Drosophila melanogaster: one gene and its partners. The protein of the gene in region 1 interacts with the protein of each later gene in a pairwise test. Each region holds a gene or a part of one and is shown in the gene's direction. Other genes may lie near its edges.

The links.
Region 2: the proteins of CG14667 (region 1) and CG9184 interact in a two-hybrid assay, tested with the Drosophila melanogaster proteins (one large-scale study listed by BioGRID).
Region 3: the proteins of CG14667 (region 1) and TwdlG interact in a two-hybrid assay, tested with the Drosophila melanogaster proteins (one large-scale study listed by BioGRID).
Region 4: the proteins of CG14667 (region 1) and Sps1 interact in a two-hybrid assay, tested with the Drosophila melanogaster proteins (one large-scale study listed by BioGRID).

The regions. Positions count from the first base shown.
Region 1 is NT_033777.3:5,373,255-5,378,069, forward strand, and holds CG14667 (uncharacterized protein), read left to right. Parts: upstream 1-1,767; 5' UTR 1,768-1,836; coding exon 1,837-1,962; intron 1,963-2,023; coding exon 2,024-2,670; intron 2,671-2,732; coding exon 2,733-2,846; intron 2,847-2,902; coding exon 2,903-3,029; 3' UTR 3,030-3,206; downstream 3,207-4,815. Other genes in the region: hd (humpty dumpty), read right to left, coding at 1-921, 979-1,136, 1,196-1,243; 7B2, read left to right, coding at 3,678-3,696, 3,745-4,556.
Region 2 is NT_037436.4:1,320,526-1,325,020, reverse strand, and holds CG9184 (uncharacterized protein), read left to right. Parts: upstream 1-2,214; 5' UTR 2,215-2,238; coding exon 2,239-2,269; intron 2,270-2,318; coding exon 2,319-3,016; 3' UTR 3,017-3,229; downstream 3,230-4,495. Other genes in the region: Myo61F (myosin 61F), read right to left, coding at 392-450.
Region 3 is NT_033777.3:4,247,397-4,253,837, reverse strand, and holds TwdlG (TweedleG), read left to right. Parts: upstream 1-2,496; 5' UTR 2,497-3,103; intron 3,104-3,323; 5' UTR 3,324-3,916; coding exon 3,917-3,931; intron 3,932-3,992; coding exon 3,993-4,647; intron 4,648-4,820; coding exon 4,821-4,987; 3' UTR 4,988-5,115; downstream 5,116-6,441. Other genes in the region: CG14644 (uncharacterized protein), read left to right, coding at 863-962, 1,024-1,540, 1,596-1,860; TwdlF (TweedleF), read right to left, coding at 5,654-6,441.
Region 4 is NT_033778.4:14,267,273-14,272,906, reverse strand, and holds Sps1 (selenophosphate synthetase 1), read left to right. Parts: upstream 1-2,248; 5' UTR 2,249-2,744; coding exon 2,745-3,941; 3' UTR 3,942-4,135; downstream 4,136-5,634. Other genes in the region: conv (convoluted), read right to left, coding at 1-464, 517-1,119, 1,179-1,348, 1,409-1,569, 1,637-1,737.

The DNA.
Region 1 (4,815 bases):
GCATGGGAGGACTGGATACGTCGCAGCTCACGCTCATCCACGCCCAAGCTCTCCAGCCAGTCCTCGTCGTCGTCTTCATCTTCCTGTGCCGGCGGAGGAGCATCTTCGCCCGCTTCTGGACCTAGCGAGGTGGTAGTGCTCTCCTCGTTAAAACTGTTGTCGTGCGCGTTTCCACTGTTATCGCTCTTAAGAGGCATGCTGAACTCGATCCCCTCCTGTCGCAGAGCTTGCCGCATTCCCCGAGTCGACGGCGTGACCAAGGCGTGGCTCTCCGGCCGACCGCCAACTCCGGCAGCTCGGAACAGCACCGTAAAAGTGTTGGCACACAGGTAGAAGTACGGGCACTGGCGGGCACGCAGCAGCTGAAATAGGCCCCGGAAGCTGAAGTCCCACTCCTCGGCCAGGGCCTTGCGCTCCCGCTCACCCACCACCACGCCCACGTTCTCCTTGGCGGTGCGCGGGTAGAGCGTCAGCCAGGGCAGGTGCGGGTGCTGCCAGTAGTAATTGCATTGGTTGAACCGCGTTGCGTCCGAGATATCCAGCGTGCTCTCCGTTCGCTGCGGGTCCATGCAGCGCACGAAGCTGGTGAGTCCGCTGGCCAGCTGCGAGGTCTTCAGTTGGATGGCAGGCAGTTCCGTGGGACAGAAGAAACGGGCTCGCGTCTTCAGGGACCAGTCCACAGGTAGGTGGGCGGTGTGCTTCTGCCGGGCGGCCAACTCCGCATCGTCCTCGTCCTCAGCGTTGATTTGGGGATGCTGGAAGAGCTTGGCAAAGGCCTGCGGGTCGTACTTCTGGAGCACGAATTTGGCGGGCGCCGGGCGCGTGGGCGTTTCCCGCACAAAGCAGGAGGAGGCAGTGACCACTGGTTCGAGGTCCGCCAGTTGCGGATCAACGCGCAGTTTCTTGGCATCAGCTGTGGATCTGAGGCAGGGAGTCAGTAATTGGATTTTGGGGAGAGCGAGAGAGAGGGAAACTCACTTCGCAAACGGATTTTTTCGCTTCTGGGCGAGCTTAGCCTCCAGTAGCTTGCTTTTATCCGTCTCATCCACTTGGTGTCTTGGCCGCCTATTGTTGTTGTTGCTCACGCGGGCTGCCAATTTGTTCTTCTTCTGCTTGAGCCGCTGCAGTTTGATGAACTGGAAAACGAAACAACAACATTAGTGGCGGGCAGGTGCTCCTCCGAGTCCTTACCCACGTCATCTGGGCGCGTCCATTTGGAAGCCACACTCGCTTCGGTGGACATGTTCAATGTCTTGGTTCGCGCACAGGACCTTCACGGATTATTTAAGTACTTTGTGAACTGCAAATATCTTCAAAACGTTTGCAAATATCACAAAAAATTATGGCGCGCAACTAGGGGTGTGAAATCTTTCGATTGATTAGCTCGTTATTCGCTATTTTCGCCCATGTTCAATTCCCAAAAATATCGTTAGTCGGCAAATAAAACGAATCTCACAATTTAACTAATTATTTATTATAATAGATGGAGTAGTTTACAAAACGAAACTAACTTAAATTGTATATCACTGGCTGCAGGGGCTATGTTGGTTAACAATGGCATTGTTGGGCATCGAATTTGATTTTTTAATTTTAATGGTTCTTTTTGGATTTACAAGCTTCTAACCTAAATTAAACAAGCGCATGTTGTATCGTTTTAACTATTAATAAAATCAAATGAATAAAAAATCTTTTTGCGCTATAAAAATGTATCTGACTATCGGATTCACCGATAACAAATCGATTAAGCACTGTCGTTTTTCCAACTGTTTTATGATCTGGTAACACTTTCCGTCGCTGCGTTTTATGCTAAAAGTAAACACATTAACTTGATAAACAATGAACCTCGCCGACGTTTGCCGTATTTGCGCCAACAAAATTATGGGCCACCAGCGAGATCGCAACATATTCATTCACATGCGGGGAAAATATTTGGGTCAACTGAAGCTAATCACGGGAGTGGAGGTAGGTCGTTATGTCAGCTTCCGACCGCGCCAACAATTGTTATTACCTGGAATTTGTTCAGCTGACAAGAAACCAGGGGCTGCCGGAGATTGTTTGCGAGCGCTGCTTCTCCGAGCTGGACCTGGCCACCAAGTTCCGCGAGCGGTGCATCTTCTCGCAAAAGTACCTGCTGGATATCATAAAGAAGACCAGTGATCAAAGCACTGTTCACGTTGAGCTTAGTTCCGAGCCGCTGGACGAGCAACTGATCGATGCGGATCAATTGGAGACGCACTACGATGACGACCAGTACGTTTGTTATCAAGGCACGAAAGAGGAACACCAAGACCTAGAGGAAATCGAGCTGGATGACGACCCCTCTGCCGCTGTGATAGCGGCAGCAGAGGCGGCAGCAGAAGCGGCGCAGCAGGAGGATCTACAGGAGCAGGAAATGGAGCGGGCCGCCAAGAGGCGCAGTAACTTCTTTATCTGCGACGAGTGTGGAACCCTGTTCCACGATGCGTTCCTGTACACCGAGCATTTAAATGGGCACCAGAACCGGCGGGATATGAACCAGTTCTTCCCCTGCCCTGAGTGCCCACAGACTTTTAACAAGAAGGCGCTTCTCAAGCAGCATCGCACCCAGGTTCATTTAATTAACCGCAGGTTCCAGTGCACCATCTGCCACGAGGCTTTCGCGTCTCTGGGCGCTAAGTTGCGGCACGACAAGTAAGGAGGCTGGGAATTGAATGCTAGCGCAGCACTATATGCAACTTCCAATTTCATTTTAGAGCCCATAAGAACGAACGACCTTATCCATGCCTAGAATGCGGAATGATCTTCAGCAGCGTTTCCGAATTGCAGAACCACTTTTCGACACACTCAAAGCAAATCCGAAAGTTCAGGTAAGCTTGTCAGCTTGCGCAGTCATATGTCTTAATATCGTATTTTTTGCGTTTAGGTGTGAGCCTTGCAACATGGATTTTATAACTCGCCGAGGCTTGGTGGCCCATACAAAAACAGCACCGCATAAGCGCCTTGCCAAATATATGCAGGATGAATTCGATTTCATCGAATTGGCAACCTAACCCTCAATTATTACCACCTTCTTTCTAAGTAAATGCTAAGGTCAAAAAAATAAATCATAATTGAGTAGTTCAGTTTACTACTTCGCTACCATAATATTCGACAATGGAGTATCGGTTCAATGTTATTTTTTTATAAGTGTATTTTTAATTTATTGAAAATAAAATTCCTTCAGTTTTACTTTCAAGTCATTTTTTATAGTTCATACTTTTAAATTAAGGAGGGAATGGAAATTTATAGCGTATTACCGTGTAACATAAACCTCTAGTCATACAATTCAAGAAAATAAAGTTTTCTTAGCGACTAAGTTTTCTTATTTTCTTCCAGCATTTTATACTAATAAAGCTTAAAGAGGCCTGAAAACCTCAGCTCCAGCAGTTTGGCGCTAATCTAATTCTCGGCCCCCCACAGGACTGCTTCAACATAAAAGAGCTTTCGAGTACGGCGCATGCGTCCTTTCAGCTGTGGCTGCCATAAGGCAGCTTCGATTGGATCTGCGTATATTTCGCAAATTCAACTGGTAGCCGCCGCACGAAGCACAGAGCCCTACGTCACGTTAGTATATACACGGAATCGGAGCAGCTGCCGCCGAAAAATCAATACCTTACCAAACTTCGACGTGGACGGTTGAAACCGCTTGGAATCGCAATATGTTGTTCCGTTCGCAAAGTAAGTCTGCTGAAGTAATATTTATAGGTGGGTGAGGTAAGAGAATAGCCCATGTTTTTCCAGGTGTGTACATGATGGTGGCGATGCTCGTGGTCGCCTTGAGTGGCTACCAGGTGCAGTCCTATAGCGCCAAGGATATTCTTGCCGATGTCTTGATGACGGATCTGCTGAATCGCATGGACAAAGACATGCAGGTGGGCTATTACGACGTGGGCAACGAGGCAGCCGCTGGCTCCAAGGACAACGTGGACCTGGTCTCCCGGTCGGAGTACGCGAGGCTGTGTGACGGCGGAAGCGACTGCATCCTGCAATCGGGCTCGGCATCGGGAGCTGCCTCCCATCCTTCGCTGCGGGATGACGAGTTTCTGCAGCACAGTTCGCTGTGGGGTCACCAGTTCATCTCCGGCGGAATGGGAGAGGGTCCCAACAGGTATCCCACTATAGTGAAGAACGACGCCGGCCTGCCTGCCTACTGCAACCCTCCTAATCCCTGCCCTGAGGGCTACGACATGGAGACGCAAGGCGGCAGCTGCATTGTCGACTTCGAAAACACGGCCATCTTCAGCCGGGAGTTCCAGGCCGCTCAGGACTGTACCTGCGACAACGAGCATATGTTCGACTGCTCGGAACAGGATAGTGCTGATGTGGGCGGCGACAAGGGTGACCTGAACTCCGCCGTGGAGCAGTACATCATGCAGATGGGCCAGGAGAACAGCCTGAACAACGTTAACAGCCTGGCTAAGAAGGCCGGATATCCTGTGATGCCCGATCCTCGGCTGGACGACGCGGTCATAAACCCGTTCCTCCAGGGCGACCGCTTGCCCATAGCCGCCAAGAAGGGCAACCTTTTATTCCACTAAGGTAACTCGCTGATAACGCGAGCATACACGACGTTTCCATATGGGTGTCTAATACTATTATCTATCATAGCTGGTTATCAATGTTGTCCCGCAAGCGATGTCTAGTAATGTTTCTACCCTTTCCCGAAAATAAAGTTATTCGTATAGTACCAGGGCTCTAAGCCGAAAATATGCGGGTATTGGTCTAAACTTGGGGTAGGGTCTCCACTACCGAAGGTGGGTTCGGATGTAGCTTATCCTTGGGATGACCCAAGTTTGA
Region 2 (4,495 bases), on another chromosome or scaffold:
GCACATTTATCAACGATAATATACCTATGACTGCGATGAGGAGGGCAATGCCGCCAATCAGTCCCCGATTAGATAGTGCCTTTCGCGAATAAACTCGGGACCCGATTTAGGAGACCATGACAGAAACGCAGCGCACCAAAGAATTCCGGATCGGCTGTATTCCGGAGTTCCAAGTACCTGAGATCACGATACGTCTTTTTCGCATGCGTCAATCCTAAAGATATATGCGTTCCCATCTCCCATCATTCCGAGCAACCCAATGTTTTCAGTTGATTCATAATGTGGTTCCTCCTAGCTACGCGAACCAGTTTCTTGGTTTTTAGATAACTAATCAAGAATTATTCTATATGATTTATAATCTATTCACTTTCTTTATCTTAGCACTGCTTACTCTATGTAGTCCTTAGTATCCATTATTGCGAAGATCAAGGATTTGATTTCAATGTACATAAGGAATTCCTTTACTTAGTTCTTGCTCCACAATTAGCTAATTTCATAAACTTGCTTCTCCAAAATGTAAATTATAACTTAATGCTTTCAAGATTTCTAGATGACTGCCGCGCTTTCGGGACATTTCTGAGTGAGTCAGAGCTCGAAACTCACAACCCCGACTCAGAAAAGTGCTCCAGCTCACATTAGCACTGTGTTATCAGCTATCAGTGTGCTAAATAATAAGTCATTGCCGAATGAAAACATTGTAAGTACACACACTAGATTGCAATTGCCTCCACCGCCACTATTGTGTGTTTCCATCCACTCTGCGCCACTTGGAAGGGGATTTGCTGTGTGGAACTGGAACGAATGCCTGACTAATTGCGAAATGTTTGCCGGGAAGACTTCCCAGGAATTCTCGAAGAGACCGGCAGACACGTCCCAGTCGTTGGAGCCGAGCTCGCCGTGATTCGATGTTTGTCACATAATTGTTTAATTGCACGTAGGGCAGATGGAAGTGGATATCGATCATGTCGAAAACCATATACGAATACATCACCCAATGGGCACAGCCATTTGCAGTCATTCTGCAATCACTTTAGCACTTTTGACAAACCAACCATCGCCTAAGATTATGCTACGTCTATTTAAGGAATCCACAAGTTGGAGGGCAGGTGAGTGCAGATCTCATGGAACTGTTTGGGATCCAATTGACACGAGTATATGTTGTATGATAAGAGAGTTGCCAAAGTTGACTGGGTGGCGGGGCAAGCCTCTACAGATACTTTCATGATTAGATAAACTAGCTGGGGGATATAAAATGAATTAAACTGTAAATATTAATGAGTGTGTAGTCATTATAATTATACTTTGCTCAATATCCCTGCAATAACACGGTTTCTCCCTACTATGAAGTCATTGACTTTCTGTTCCCTGGGGGCGTTGCTTTTGTCGGCTTGATCCACTCTTTCTTTAATCCCCATTCAGCGGTCTAATAGAGTGGGGAACTGGTTTCCCGATCCAGAAATACTCCAACGGGTGATGTAACAGAGAACTCCACATTTTGTTGTATCAGACGACTCGTAAACATGTCTACGACACACGACCTATAACGGAACCCAAAAACCATGAGTCCCACCCAAACGAAAAAGTTCCTAACCCATTAATCGCACACCGAAAGAAATAGTCGAGCATTAAGAATAGGAAACCAAGAGGCAGAGGCTGATTTGCTTTGTAGCGAGATGGAGAAATACATTCGTAAAAAGTAAAGATAAGTTCTAAAGACGGAAACTCAACGATAATACAATAAGTTCAAGGGCACATATTTCCAAAAAATTTGTTGCCAACTCAAGAGCTTTGCTGAATATTTTTTTGTTCAGTGGCATGACCAACCTTCATCTGCATTCAAATGTCGTCATATATCAAGCAGCAATATCGCGGGATATTGAACTCTTCGAATTCATTTGGAAAAATGCAGGGCTGGCAGAACGATCATGGAAGTGGAATGAGAAGTGGAAAGATCCCACAAAGCCCCTACAAGCATTTATATCATATGCAAATTAATGAGCGCAGTTATTAGAACGGTGCTTGATCGATCCGAGATCGAGATCGAGTTCGAGCTGGAGCTGGAGCTGGGGATGGAGATGGAGATGGACACAGAAGAAAGAAAGGCATCCCAAATTTGGGCCACTGCATGGGTTATTCTAATGAGGAAACCGGGAACGAGATCCCACACATCTCATCACAGATGCACCGCGTATAAAAGGGCAATGCAACTGGAGTGGTCAGGTTATTCCGAGAGAGATCATGGATCGGAGAGTGACTGCGATTGGTTTGGGTGAGTACGGACGATCGGCTGCCTAGAAAGAGTGACACATCCTTTTCAGTTATCCTGCAGCTGCTGGTCAGCGGCCTCTGTTTCCAGGAGAAGGCGCCACTGCAGACGAGCCTGGTCAGCGGACAGGCCAGGACCGAAAAGCAGCAACAGGTGCTGGACGATCCGCTGGGAAGTGGACGCGGGATTGACGAGCACCTGCTGAAGACCATTGGTAAGGGCGGCATCAAGCTGGTGATGGCCTCGGGAGCCCCGTCGACCACCCCGAAACCGTCAGTACAACACCATTACTATTATCCACCAGAGGATCAGCAGCACCCACGGCAGTATGGCTATCCACCGCAGTGGTCGCCAGGACCGCCCGCTTATCCGCCGCCACCGCAGCGTCCTTGGGGGCCACCCCCTCCGCCCGGACCACCGCCGCCAGGACCTCCTCCTCCGCCGGGACCCTACTACAATCCCTACTACAATGGCTACAACTACTACGGCGGATATGGCGGCTATGGATATGGGGGCTTTGGATATCCCGGCTTTGGCGGCTATTCTGGCTATCCCTACTATCCCTTCTATCGCTCCTCGACGGCTGGCGAGGTCGATAACCAACTTCCCGGTGCCGATGGACTCACTTCCGCCGCCATTCCTGGCGTTTTCCAGGGCAGGGCCGTGCTGTCCCACCAGAACTTCCTCGACGGCAGGAACAACGCTAACGTTGTGCCACTTTATCACCTACTCCAAATGGCCAGGGCTTGAAGTACTCTAATCCAATCATTGATTAAAACTTAATAAATTGTGTACCATGTATATTCCGAGTAACCGCGTGATGCATTGTAGTTCTTACTTATCATCGCATGCGTTCTAGTTTATAGCCCTATTCAATATCTAATCGATTCTGACTGGATAAATGTTTAAAGAAATCGTCCAACTGAAAGCCCATAATAGTAGAAACAGAATTGCAGAAAGGAGAAAGGCAGAAGGTGTTTCTATTAATCCACTCGAGATTGACGATTACTTAAACCCTGATAATAGCTTTGCCAGATCATCCAACTGAATGGATCGTTAGATTATAAAGAACCCAGTTGAGGCCGCTGACCGAGAGTAAAGATGATCGAATTCGTTCAAACGATCGTCATCATCGTCATTTCTCGCACCCGCAAAGACTGGAAATTCAAATTCAAACTGGGCAAACTTATCGAGCCGGTTGCAAATACATATGTATATAAGAGAATCTGGACGCTCGGTTGCTGAGTCACCCGCTTTTAGGGACGAGTCTTCTGGGCACGAGGAGATCTCGAGGAGATCACGCCGCCATTGTGACGCATGCCAAGTGCCTGGGTCTCGGTCTCGGATAACCATTAAGTATTAAACAATCACTGGGGCCCGCTGTTTTCTTAGCTCACTGCGAGCCATAAAAAGCGTCAACAGCTGAGGCCGATCTTGAACGCGATTTACTGCCAATTGCAAAAAAAAAAGAAAAAATCTGCTGAAAGAGCTGCCCAAAAGCGTTTCGTTTTGTTTCGTTTTTGCCTTTCCTACTGTTTTGGCCGCTTCAAAACAGACTTTTTGCTCGTACTCACGTCGAATAAGAGTTTGGAGTTTGGGATTGGGGCTTCCACGAAAAGCCCTTACTTGGCACTTTACCGAACCTGAGCAAATCCGAGGTGCGATGTAATGGTGATCCCAACACGAGCTCACTCAAGCTCACTCCTCCGTCGAAAGAAATGGAATGGAGTGGAAGTGCTGGCTCCGTGTTCTTGGTTCCTCGCCAGTCGAACTTTATGACTAGTGGGGATTTTTGCTATAATTGTACTTGTGCCATACAATTGATTGAATGGGGCATATTGCCACATGGCCAATTACCGCTTTATTAAGGTGGATCAGCAGTTTCTCAGCCAGGATACTACAGATAATAGTAGAATGCCGTCAATATTTGTAATTTAAAAGGTGAAAATGAATCGTAACTTCTTTAAGAGATCGTATCTTATACATCTTTAAAGAACAATGTCTGAATGAATCCATTCACTAGGTAAGACCAGGTCATTCTCTACTCTTCCAAGTGACACATCTGCCCATTCATAAAAGAGGGCATACCAATTGTCGACCAGACCTCCACATCTTTCGTGGAAAAGCGATGTGCTTCGATGGACGTTTACGACAATCGCTTGTGGTCTTTTGTCGATTCAACTTAATTTTCGTATCTTATCTTATTAGACATTAATTAATGTCATAATG
Region 3 (6,441 bases), 1.1 Mb from region 1:
ACTGAAGCGGCTGGTCTGGCACCGCAGACCCTCAGTTTTCGAGGTACCCTAATGATCGTTTCATGTTCAGTCTTCACTGAAGCCAAAATCGATTTCGGAGTCGGTCTGGTGCAAGAGCTTTGTAGTTTGCCCGCTGAACACAGCGGGCTCTTGCGAAAATTTTAGACGAGTGAGTTAGTGTATTCAATCTAACAAATTCTGGGAAATACATTATTGATTAGGGCAGCATGTTCCTTTAGAAGAGAAGTGCACATTTTGCACAGTGTAAGATCCAATCTACTCGGGTTCAGTGTAGGTACGTAAATTGCTCATAAATGAATACCTAAAAAATATAACATAACTAAAATGTAATTATCTTCGGTATAATATAAATAAGAACGTTGAAATTAGGCCGATAGATTGTAGGTGCAGTGTGTACTTAATTCAAGAAAAGGGCAACGCCCACTTCAACGTCCACAAGCTGCCTACTTTTGATATACGAATAATATTTTGGTTATTTTTAAAAAAGTTTTAATTTTATTTATTTAAAAATTTTTACTCTAACCAACAAACCAATAAATGCTCGCAAGTCAACAATTTCTTTTTTCTGATTTATGTATAATTTCTTTTCTGCAGATAAGCACAAGCCAACAAAGTAAAGAAAAAACACTTAAGTAACAGGTATCTGATAGTCGACATATATAAGCATATAAGCATATATATATATAACATATAAGCCTCCGCTTCCCATTAAAACCCAAACGGATTCTTTTCACACATAAACTACCCATAATGCTTTTATCAAAACTGTATTTGAGTTTTTGTTATCTATAGTCGTAGTTGAATACACTGTCACCTTACACGATCTTCTAAATCTAATGTAATGGACAATAATCCGACGACCCCTGCTTTGCTTGCTCAGAGCTCCTCGGTAAACGTGTTCCACGATGAATCACTGTTACCTCAGCGTAATGTAAAAACAAGTAAATCCCCCAATAAAAGCTAAGATATTCCGAGGGACTACAGCAATTTGCGATTTCATAGGTGAGAATGTTCCACCAACTTGTGCGGAGAAAACGTTGTTTGTGCTGTCCATGATTCTGATAGTCCTTTGCCTGCCGTGGTCCCTATTCTGCTGTCTCAGGGTAATGTCGGAGTACGAGCGAGCGGTAATCCTGCGCCTGGGTCGCCTGCGCCCTAAGCCCCCGAGGGGGCCAGGCGTCATCTTTCTCGTGCCCTGCATTGATGACCTCGCTGTTGTGGACATACGTACCAGGTCATTTGACCTACATAGACAGGAAATCCTCACTCGTGACATGGTGACGATCAGCATCGACGGAGTGGTGTACTACAGCATCAAGAGCCCATTCGACGCCATGCTGCAAGTATACGATCCGGAGGAGGCGACCGAGAAGCTAGCAATGACCACGCTGCGTAACGTGGCCGGCACCCACAAGCTAATGGATTTGCTCTCGTCCAAGGAGTACCTCTCCAACCAAATAGAGGGTATATTGTACAACTCCACAGAGCCCTGGGGCATACGCGTGGAACGGGTCGAGATGTAAGTACTTTTTGTCTTACAATGGATCAATAATGCGTTATGATATATTCGGCAGCAAGGAGATCTTCATGCCTGATCAACTGAAGCGCGCCCTGGCTGTGGAACAGGAGGCGATGCGTGAGGCCAAGGCCAAGGTGGCCGCGGCGCAGGGGGAGCGAGATGCGGTAACTGCTCTGAAGGAGGCTGCCGACATAATGGAGACCAACCCCATAGCCCTGCAGCTACGGTACTTGCAAACACTGAACTCCATCTGCAATGATGACACCCGGTCCTACGTCTTTCCTTTTCCTGTAGACATTGTGAGGAATTTGATGAAGTAGGATTGAATTCAGAAAATGCGTTCCGTTTTTATGTACGTTCCATATAAAAATTACTTACCTATTAAATAGAATTTAGTTCATCTGAAGAGGGGACCCAATCCGAAACATTTCTCTGGACACACAGTTTCGAAATCGTTTAACACCATATATTAGAAGCATACTACCATCTTACAGTAAATTAAATCGATATTTTCTAGCAGATAAGGGGAAATGCCCCAGTACTTTGCTTTAAATAAGCAAAAAAAAAACCGTAACTTCGATAATTGCTTGCCGGATGTACAAATTTCAGATGCTGTATTTATTTGGTCAAGGTGTATTGTATTGATACAATACTATTTTCAACTCAAGGCTCGTTATTAGCCACAAACTCAAAAGATTACACGTACTATACGACGTCACTGTCGTAGTATTTACTATTTGCTGTTTATATTTCATTTTAAAAAGACCAAATAATGTCCAATATTTGCCCCGGGACTTCGCTGCTGTCAGTTAGAAATCTCCAAAGCTTTTGTCAAAGAAAGCTATTTCATTCGATGTCTAAACCAACTCCCAGAAAAAACTTTGCCGAGTTTAATATGAGCTTTTGGATTTGCAGTTTGTACTTACATATATATTTCAACATATTTTCAATCTAATAACACAAAACCAGTCAGATCGTGCGCTTGAAAAGGAATTCAAATTTATAATCAATAATATAAGTGTGCAAAATTATTCAATGTTATTTTACCTGGGCTTAAAGAAAATCACTCGACTGGATGTCCAACATTAAGCAATCAGCAATCATTTTCTGCGGATGACCTGTGCCCACTTATTATTGATTGTTTTTGGTATTTCTATATTTTAATTATTTAATTCAATCCTAATGTAGGCGCCATAAGCCTTGGCCATGCAAATAGCCGACACACGAAACGCCATGAAATAAAAATTAATGAAGTTTGAAATTTGAACAGGGAAGAGCTGTAAACGAAGTACATTTCTGCGGCGTATCCAAAGAGTGCGCCAAAAAGCCGCGGACTCAGTGTAGATACCATTGCGTAACTCCGTGGGCCAAGACGCTCTTATCTTTTGTCTGCAAGATTAGGTCGGAGAAAAGCACCAGGAGTTGCCGATGCCCACAATTTGCTGATTGCGGGGGCGCCACAGCTCGTGTGAACGGGTGGCTTGCATAATAAGTCGATCATAAGTGTGATGCCGCAGTATTTGCGTACTCGTAACGGATCGGGGAAGAAACGCACGCCACACGGTAATTTGAAGCGATTGTGCTTCATCTTGGCCCGCACTGCCATTTGTGTTTTGATAAATCTCCAGTCATATATCAAATCGTCAGCACCACTTACCTGGCCCAACAGGGCCCCCAATTATGACCCATGCTATGACGGACATTGATTTAAGCATTAGGACTTGCCTTTTTTCGTCAGCTAAATGCTGAAAATATAATACAGAAAATACATATTATGTTATAGATCAAATTGTGCAACTATGTACCAATTACAATTTAATAATTGGGTCATCGGAAACCAAAGCAATTTCTGAAATTCATTAAGACATAGTGAAAAAGCGAAAGTTTTCCAGGTAGACGCCATTTTAAATGAGACTATTGTGTGATCAATGCAAGTTGCGATTCGAGATTTTGCGTTGCAAAGGTTCGTCAATTATGATCGGCCATCAACAGCAACAAATATCCACCATCATGATCACCTCAAAAGCTAGAGAAATGGATGTGCCAAACTAATCTCCACATTTGTATGTGTCCATCGCACAAGACTTCCAACTAGACGACGCTTTCGACTTGGCCCTAAGTTGAAGCTCGAGAGCTTTAGGGTTTTGGGTGAGTTCCCAAAAAGTTACCGTTACCTCAAGGTTGTATGAAAACGCAAGCGAGTTTTCGTGCGGCTTGAGCGTTTGTGGTTTCAGTTTCATTTAAACTTTGCGTTGCGGACACAACTTTTTCGTACCGACATTATCGAGTCAGCGACATAAAAGTCTGGGCGGCTAGTGATTAGCATTTAGTTGAATTTTGATTGCCAAGGGACCGGTGTCTTCAACTCAATCGGAAATGCATTTCTTCATTGTAAGCCCTCTAGTGTCAGCCGAGGTGTCCAAGCACCAATAGTAATGACTTAGTTTTATAGGTGCCGTGCCTCCTAGGACTTGCAGCCGGCATTCCTCAAGGATACAACTACCAAGCCCAGCAACAGCTTCAATCGTCGGCGCAAGCTGGTCAACTCCATCTGCCTTCTATTCCGCAGTTTGCCACCCTTGCGGAGCAGACGATCCTTCAGCAGGCACTCCAGGCTCCAAAGTTGCAGCAGGTCCTGACCGGAGGAGAAGGGCTCGCATCTTACTCAAATCAAAACCAGGCCTCCGCTTACCAACAGCAGGCGACGCAGTTCGGCCCAAATTCGGCGTACAATGCGCTGCCCCAGGCACATCAGCCTCAGCAGCAGCACCTCGTCTCCAAGGACATCTACGTCCATGTGCCACCAGCAGAAGAGCCCGAGGACCGCTACCCTCAGCCCGTCCTTCCGCCCGCGCCTCCGCGCAAGCATTATCGCATAGTTTTCATCAAGGCACCGACGACCAGTGTCTCGAAGGCGGCGTTGCGCATCAAACAGGCTCCTGTGGAGGAGAAGACCATCATCTATGTGCTGACCAAGAAGCCGGACCCACTAGATCTCCAGACTGCCATCGAGGAAATCGCGCCGAAGCAGCCCAGCAAGCCAGAGGTATTTTTCATCAAATACAAGACCCAGGAGGAAGCTGCGCATGCGCAACGTACCATTCAAGGTGAGCAACACCCGCATCGAGCAGATGCTATGAGACACACTTGAAGACCTCATCAGTATGCAACAGACCTCAAATGTTTCGATTTGCAAGCTTCATAGAAATGTCTATCGACCAATTAATCTGGCTTGTCCAAATTTTTATTACCCGATTTTTAACCGATTTACTTCTTTTAGCTCAATATGACCAGCTTGGCGGAACATCACAGGTTTCTGACGAGGGAGTTGCACCCGTTACATCCGTGATTGGCGTACTGGACAACCAGCGCAACAACGGAATTTCATCCGGACAGTTTTCTGGCTCCTTGCCAAACAGCTACTTGCCAACTAATCTGCGTGCTTAGGTACAACTCCAAGGCCACTGTCGTAATTTTAAGACTTGAACTCTTGTAATTTACACATTTAGTTAAATAAAGTTCATATTTTGAGCTCCGCCTTATGATAGAAAGCGACTCTGCAGCCATATTCAAATATGAAATCGAGTTTCAATACTTCAAAGTAACAAAATAGTTTTCTATGGACCATGTTACCACATCCATTAGTCCAATGACAGCCATCCAAGCCGAAAACCGGTCGCATAAATTAGCATGTGATTTGACTTACATAACAACGATTAAGCCACACGAAAACTTGATTATTATGGCTGTTGGCTTAATGCCAAAAGAGATGGTCCAAACTTTCTTGCGAGAAAGAAGTCATTGTCATAGTCTCTTAGCCCATTGAAACATTTTTGTGATAAAAATAAACAGCGTTTTCATAAGAAACATTAAACTCAAGCTATGCCTTAAATGAAAGATTAATTCCAAATCCTAAAACAAAACCTATCTAAAATATTAAAAGGATTAAACTTAAAAACGAGTACTAGAAACAGAAGGCTTTTTGGGTTTCGATTTAAATTTTTTTATATTTCTTTCGACTTTCGACTTTTGCATTAAAAATAAATTAAAATTTACTACAGTATGATGGTTGATATAAAACAATGAAAGCGATAGGATTCTTACTACAACTTTTTAAAAAGTCTTTGCCGGCACATACTTCCTTGATGGCGCCGAGGGAGCGAATGAGGAGGTGGACTTCTGCACAAAGGAGCTCTGCTGCTGGACCCCCTGGACCCCCTGGTTAATAGACTGCAGCTGAACAATGGGCTGACCCTGTGGCTGGATAATGGTTGGCGCCTGAGAGTGGATGATGGTTTGGCCAGCTTGGGAGTGCTGGGGCACAAAGCTGCCCAGGTTAAGGGAGCCACTCGAAACGCTGGCGATGGGAGCCACTCCCTCGTCCGAAATGTGGGTTGCACCTCCCAAGGCGTCGTACTGGGCCTGGATTTCCTGCTGGGCGCGCTGGGCCTCTTCCTGGGTCTTGTACTTAATGAAGTAGACCTCCGGCTTTTGAACCTTGGCCTCAGACTGGGTAACCTGCAGCTGCTGCTGGATCTCAGTGAGATCGGGCTTTTTAGAGAGCACGTAGATGACGGTCTTTTCCTCGTTGCTTGACTGGGCCCGCTTCAGGGCCGCGGCGGTATATTTCAGATTCTGGGAAGGCGCTTTAATGAAGACGATCCGGTAGTTCTTGCGGATGGGCACATTCTCCAGAAGTGGCTCGTCCTGCCGCAGTTCCTCATTCTCCTCGGGGGCGGAGTGGATGTAAATGTCCTTGGTAACGATAGCGGGGCGCTGGACGAACTGGGTCTGAAGGGCTTGCTGCGGTTGCTGCTGGTACACGATTTGCTGAGGCTGCTGCTGCACAGTGCTGATCAGGTTTTGCTGGGGCGAAGCAGTAAGGAAAGTCTCCTTTGGGA
Region 4 (5,634 bases), on another chromosome or scaffold:
ATTTCCCTCATGCTATTATGGCTAAGATCAATTGAGCGTAGCGAGAATAGGGTTTGAAAAACTCCATTAAATATACTGGAGATGTTATTGTGCGAGACATCGATGGTGTGCAGTTCATAGAGCTTTGGAAAACAATTTTTGGGTATTTCGGTAATGCTATTGTACGAGGCATTCAAGACTTTCAAGCCAGTCATATTTTGAATGGGAATCTGTGCCAAATTGGTAAGATTGTTGTAGCTCAGCTGAAAATAGGTCGCGAAAGTGGTCTCATCGAAGCTGCGACGCGAAAAGTTGGCCAACCGATTGTGAGACAAGTCAAGAACCGTGATGTTTACACAATTTTCAAATGCAGCTGTTTCAATGAGTTCCAAAGCGTTATGCGATACGTTTATGATAGCCTGGTAAATATCCTTGAAAGAGTTCTTTTCAATCTTGGTTATGTTGTTCTCCGCCAAATCGAGCAACTGAAAAGCAGCAATTAGTTAAATTTTTCAAATTTTATATTAGCAATTGTACCTCCACATAGTTCATCTGGGTAAACATCTGGAACTCGATCTTCTTAAGACGGTTGCGTGCAAGATCAATAGTTCCAATGCGGGCAATTGAGCCGAAAGTACCACGACCAATATCCGTGAGCACATTATCGCTGAGGAAAAGACGACGGAGGAAACGCATACCCCTAAAACTATTCGCATCTAGGCGTGCAATCTGGTTGTGGGACAAATGGAGCACCTTCAACACAGAGTTTCTGGCAAAAGTTCCGCGACTAAGTTCGCTTAGGGCATTATGAGAAACGTTGCACCATCCCAGCTTTGTCAGATCAGCTATGTGCTGTGCCTCCAGCTTTTTGATCTGGTTGTGACTTATATCCAAGACCTCCAACTCTCTTAGATTCTTAAATTGGTTTCGTTTCAGATTCTCCAATTGATTTCCATGCAAGTCGAGCGTTTTTAGTTTCCGCAATGGCTGGAAAGTCTCAATAGGCAGATCACTTAGGTTACCATTGGTCACACGTATGATTCCCAGACTATTGGCGATCTCTTGGCCAGCAAATAGATCCTTGGGTAGCTGTTGGAACGCATGGCCATCGATTACGAGTTCCTTAGCTTTTCCTAGAATCTGAAAAAAGAATTTCCCGTTTAGATAACGATGGTATCGGTATATTGTTTAATTCTTACGCCGAATCCTAGTAAACCAACGTGGCTTAGATTTGTGCGAAGTAAATGCAGTTGCTCCAAAGTATTATTTACTCCATAGAAAACATAATCCTCAATGGTGGCCAATGGTGTTTCTTCTATGATCAGCATTCGTGCTTTGATATGAGCAAATAGTGGCCCATATAGACGAACTAGAAAGAGAATTTGATTCTTCAGCTTAACAGACTAAAAGGACGTGTAGAAGTACACACCGAAATGTCCTCTGTAGATGGTCAACTCCTCGATGGGCATACCAAAAGAGGCCAAATTCTGAAGGGCTACGGATAAGGTAGCCAAGTTTGTATTTTCGCACCGAATGTAGAGGCCATTATCGCTGCCCTTCACACATTCGCAGGGGTACAAGGCCTTTGATCTGATTTGAAAAAAAAACACCATATAAGTGAAGAAATATGTAATATACAATATTTGGAATAACTCACTTTTTTGGACACTTGAATTCGGGTTCGCCATACACATATTCCGAACTGGCTAGGGCAATGAAGTGCAGCAAAACGAGAGTGCGCAGGCGTAGCTGAATCATGTTTTAATGATTTCGTCACCGTTTTAATTTAGTTTATCCCATGGCCCAAAACCAAGTTCGCTGCTCAAGTCTTTTGTGTGGGCTTCGATTTCCTGAAACTTATAGTTCTTTGTTTAACGATGTTCCGCTTGAATGAGGTGGGTTTTTTTTTGGGATGTGGAGTAAAGTTAACTTGTCTTATCAACGAACAAAGGTAAATGGTTTCTTCTACTTTTACTTTTCGCTCTGCTGGCGCAACAGGTTTTCATGGGCCGCTCTTGTGCGCTCTTTGTGACCAGCACTTTGGAGCTCTAATTGAATTAATGCCAACTATATTAACTGCTCCCGAAAGTCAGAGCACTGTGAACCACAGTTTCCACTTCGGTTCCCCCATTTATTCCGCGGTTTTAACATATTTTTATTTATTTTACCCTTGGCGCACAATACAATCGATAGATTTCGGGCGAGTTGGCAGCCCCGTTGAACCATCGCTTCAGACAATCGGCATCCCAAATATCGAATCAGCCGCACACGCTAATACAACCCTGTTGTGACATCTCGCTCGTTGGAAAAGCAAAAACCAGGCGCAAAATAAATATAATTTGCTAACGTTACTCTACAATTATCTTTGTACAATCGCACAAGCAAACGTAAGTACCAAAAGACAAACGAACGCAACGAACCAAATGGCCAATTCAAAGCGCGCACTTTTTGGCATTTTGCAATTGAAATGAGTGGGCATTGTTCACGTTGCTCGCCTCGTCGACAGGGAGAAATACTGACTTCGCCCGTTTTAGCCGCCATCGCGACTGCAGCCAATCACGGGCCGCGCTACACACACGCGGCAGAAAATCCGTGTACATACACGTCTGAGCGCTGTGGTATTGGTGGCCGGGGAGAACGCGAGTTACTCGCTGCATAGAGTAGCCCACTATGTGTTTATTGCGCGGCAAAAGTGCGTTAATCGGTTAAAGCCGCTACTTACATTCTGTTCTTTGCATCTCCCCCATCCACAGCTATAAAGCAAGATGAGCTACGCCGCTGATGTGCTGAACTCGGCCCATTTGGAGCTCCATGGTGGTGGCGACGCCGAGTTGCGTCGTCCATTCGATCCCACGGCCCATGATTTGGATGCATCCTTCCGCCTTACACGCTTCGCAGATCTAAAGGGGCGCGGCTGCAAAGTGCCGCAGGATGTGCTCTCCAAGCTGGTGTCCGCCCTGCAGCAGGACTACTCTGCCCAGGACCAGGAACCGCAGTTTCTCAACGTGGCCATTCCCCGCATCGGTATTGGCCTGGACTGCTCCGTCATTCCGCTGCGACACGGCGGACTCTGCCTGGTGCAGACCACCGATTTCTTTTACCCCATTGTCGATGATCCCTACATGATGGGCAAAATTGCGTGCGCCAATGTGCTCAGCGATTTGTATGCCATGGGAGTCACAGATTGCGATAACATGCTGATGCTGTTGGCGGTCAGTACCAAGATGACAGAGAAGGAGCGTGACGTGGTCATTCCGCTGATAATGCGAGGCTTTAAGGACTCCGCTTTGGAGGCAGGCACCACTGTGACTGGAGGCCAGAGCGTGGTCAATCCGTGGTGCACCATTGGTGGGGTTGCCTCGACCATTTGCCAGCCAAATGAGTATATTGTGCCAGATAATGCCGTGGTAGGGGATGTACTGGTGCTAACCAAGCCACTGGGCACCCAAGTGGCCGTGAATGCCCACCAGTGGATTGACCAGCCGGAGCGCTGGAACCGCATTAAGCTGGTGGTGTCCGAAGAAGATGTACGCAAGGCCTACCACCGGGCGATGAACTCTATGGCTCGCCTCAACCGCGTAGCCGCTCGCCTCATGCACAAGTACAATGCCCACGGAGCCACCGATATTACTGGATTCGGACTACTAGGCCACGCTCAAACCCTGGCTGCACATCAGAAAAAGGATGTCTCCTTTGTTATCCACAATCTGCCGGTGATCGCCAAGATGGCTGCAGTGGCCAAAGCCTGCGGCAACATGTTCCAGCTGCTGCAGGGCCACTCGGCGGAGACCTCGGGAGGATTACTGATCTGCCTGCCGCGAGAGCAGGCCGCTGCTTATTGCAAGGACATCGAGAAGCAGGAGGGCTACCAGGCCTGGATCATCGGCATCGTTGAGAAGGGCAATAAGACCGCACGCATCATCGACAAGCCCCGCGTCATTGAGGTGCCCGCCAAGGACTAGGTCTCCATTGCCTGACCATCTGCTATTGTCTACCTTAAGTATCTTAATATTAACGTAACGGCTGCTACATTCAGTTGTAACCGGCATGATCGGTCTTTGTTTTTTATAAAAAAGCTTATCAACTACAGATTCACTGATCATTATAATCTTGGACGTCTCTACTGCAATACGAGTGAATAAAATGAAAACACTTGAATCTTTTGTATCGAGTAATTGGAATGCGGGGCATCTGAATGAGCTTTTTCCAGTCAACTTTGTTATTAAATTACAGCTCACAGTTTGGCAAAAAGTGGAGCATCTTCGGAATCGCATACATTTTGAACAGTTGTGTGTTGAGAATTTAATCGACTTATTTAACCCACTAAATAAGTTGTAGAAGTCACATTTATTTTTGTTTAGTTAGTGCACCTGCGCTTTGAGGCTAAAAACTCAGCTGGTGTAAATTTTAAATTTGCTTGCTGATTTTAGTTTACAGTCGCATGCTTATGAAATCAGCACGCGTTTTGAAAGTCAAATTGTTGGAGGTTTAAGTGAATTTTAATCGTTAAGCTTTGTTTCGCAGTTCAAACTTGGGAGCGGGTTATCAGGAAAGTAATTGTCAAGTACCAAGCCAGCAAAAAGAAGTGTCATGTATCTCATTTAGATACGTGTGCTGATAGTACCTTCAGATAGTTTAAAACATGTTTGAGTACAGGAATATTCTTACTAAAAATATGATCATTTTGAACTGAACTTCATTTGAAAATTAATTGGTTATGATAAGTTTGAGAGTGAATTTCGGAAACATGGACATTTAAAGAGACATTTAAAGGACGTTGATTTGTTGAGGAGAATTTAGCATGGGTTATCAGATACCCTAACCTCCTAACCTCTATTGTTCGATCAATCGGCATTAGTTGCGGAGAGCGAAAAGCTTTGCAAGCTCTAAAAACCAAAACCGAGCGAGAGATGCTCTCGTGCGAACAGGTCTCCGGCAAGTTGCCATCGGATGGGATCGGATCGCACTGGTGGGGATCGGGATCGCTGGTGGCAAGTGCGGATCGTGGGCCTCAGTACCGCCCGAGCTAGCGACGCGTTAAGATCCGCATCCGAATCGTAAACACAACGAGAAACTTACACTGCGCGCACCGTTACACTTTTGTGCTGGGAGCGATCGAACACTAATACACTGACCAACGAATTTCCCGCACAACGAAGAGATTTTCCCTCCCCAATTGAACTGTACTTGGACGTACGTTGCGTTTTTGGAGTTTTGGAAAAGTGCACAGTGAGTGCTGCAAGTATTTGTACATACAGAGCCACATAGCGATACAAACGTCGATAGATAGAAAGATACATATGTAGATAGTGTGTGGGCTGTTGGGGCTCTTTGCTGTTCGGTGTTTGGTGTTTGGAAGACGAGCTCAAAAACCGCAGTTAGAAACTAGTTTTCCCTACGTGTCGTGGTCGTGGTCGCAGTGGCAGTGGCAGTTGCTGTAGTCGCTGCCTTACATGAACGTGGAAGTACTCGCTTTTTGAAGTGAAATTCGAAAACGCATCCTCCTCGACCATGTAGCGATGTATCTGGCGGATCGCTATTCCTTGTGTATCTCTTCGTGGCCAGATGATTCATGTACGGTGGGCACTCGTACGTACACTCGATTTATTTCCCGACGGAACGGCGCAGTATTCAAATTGAAAGAACAGTGGCAGT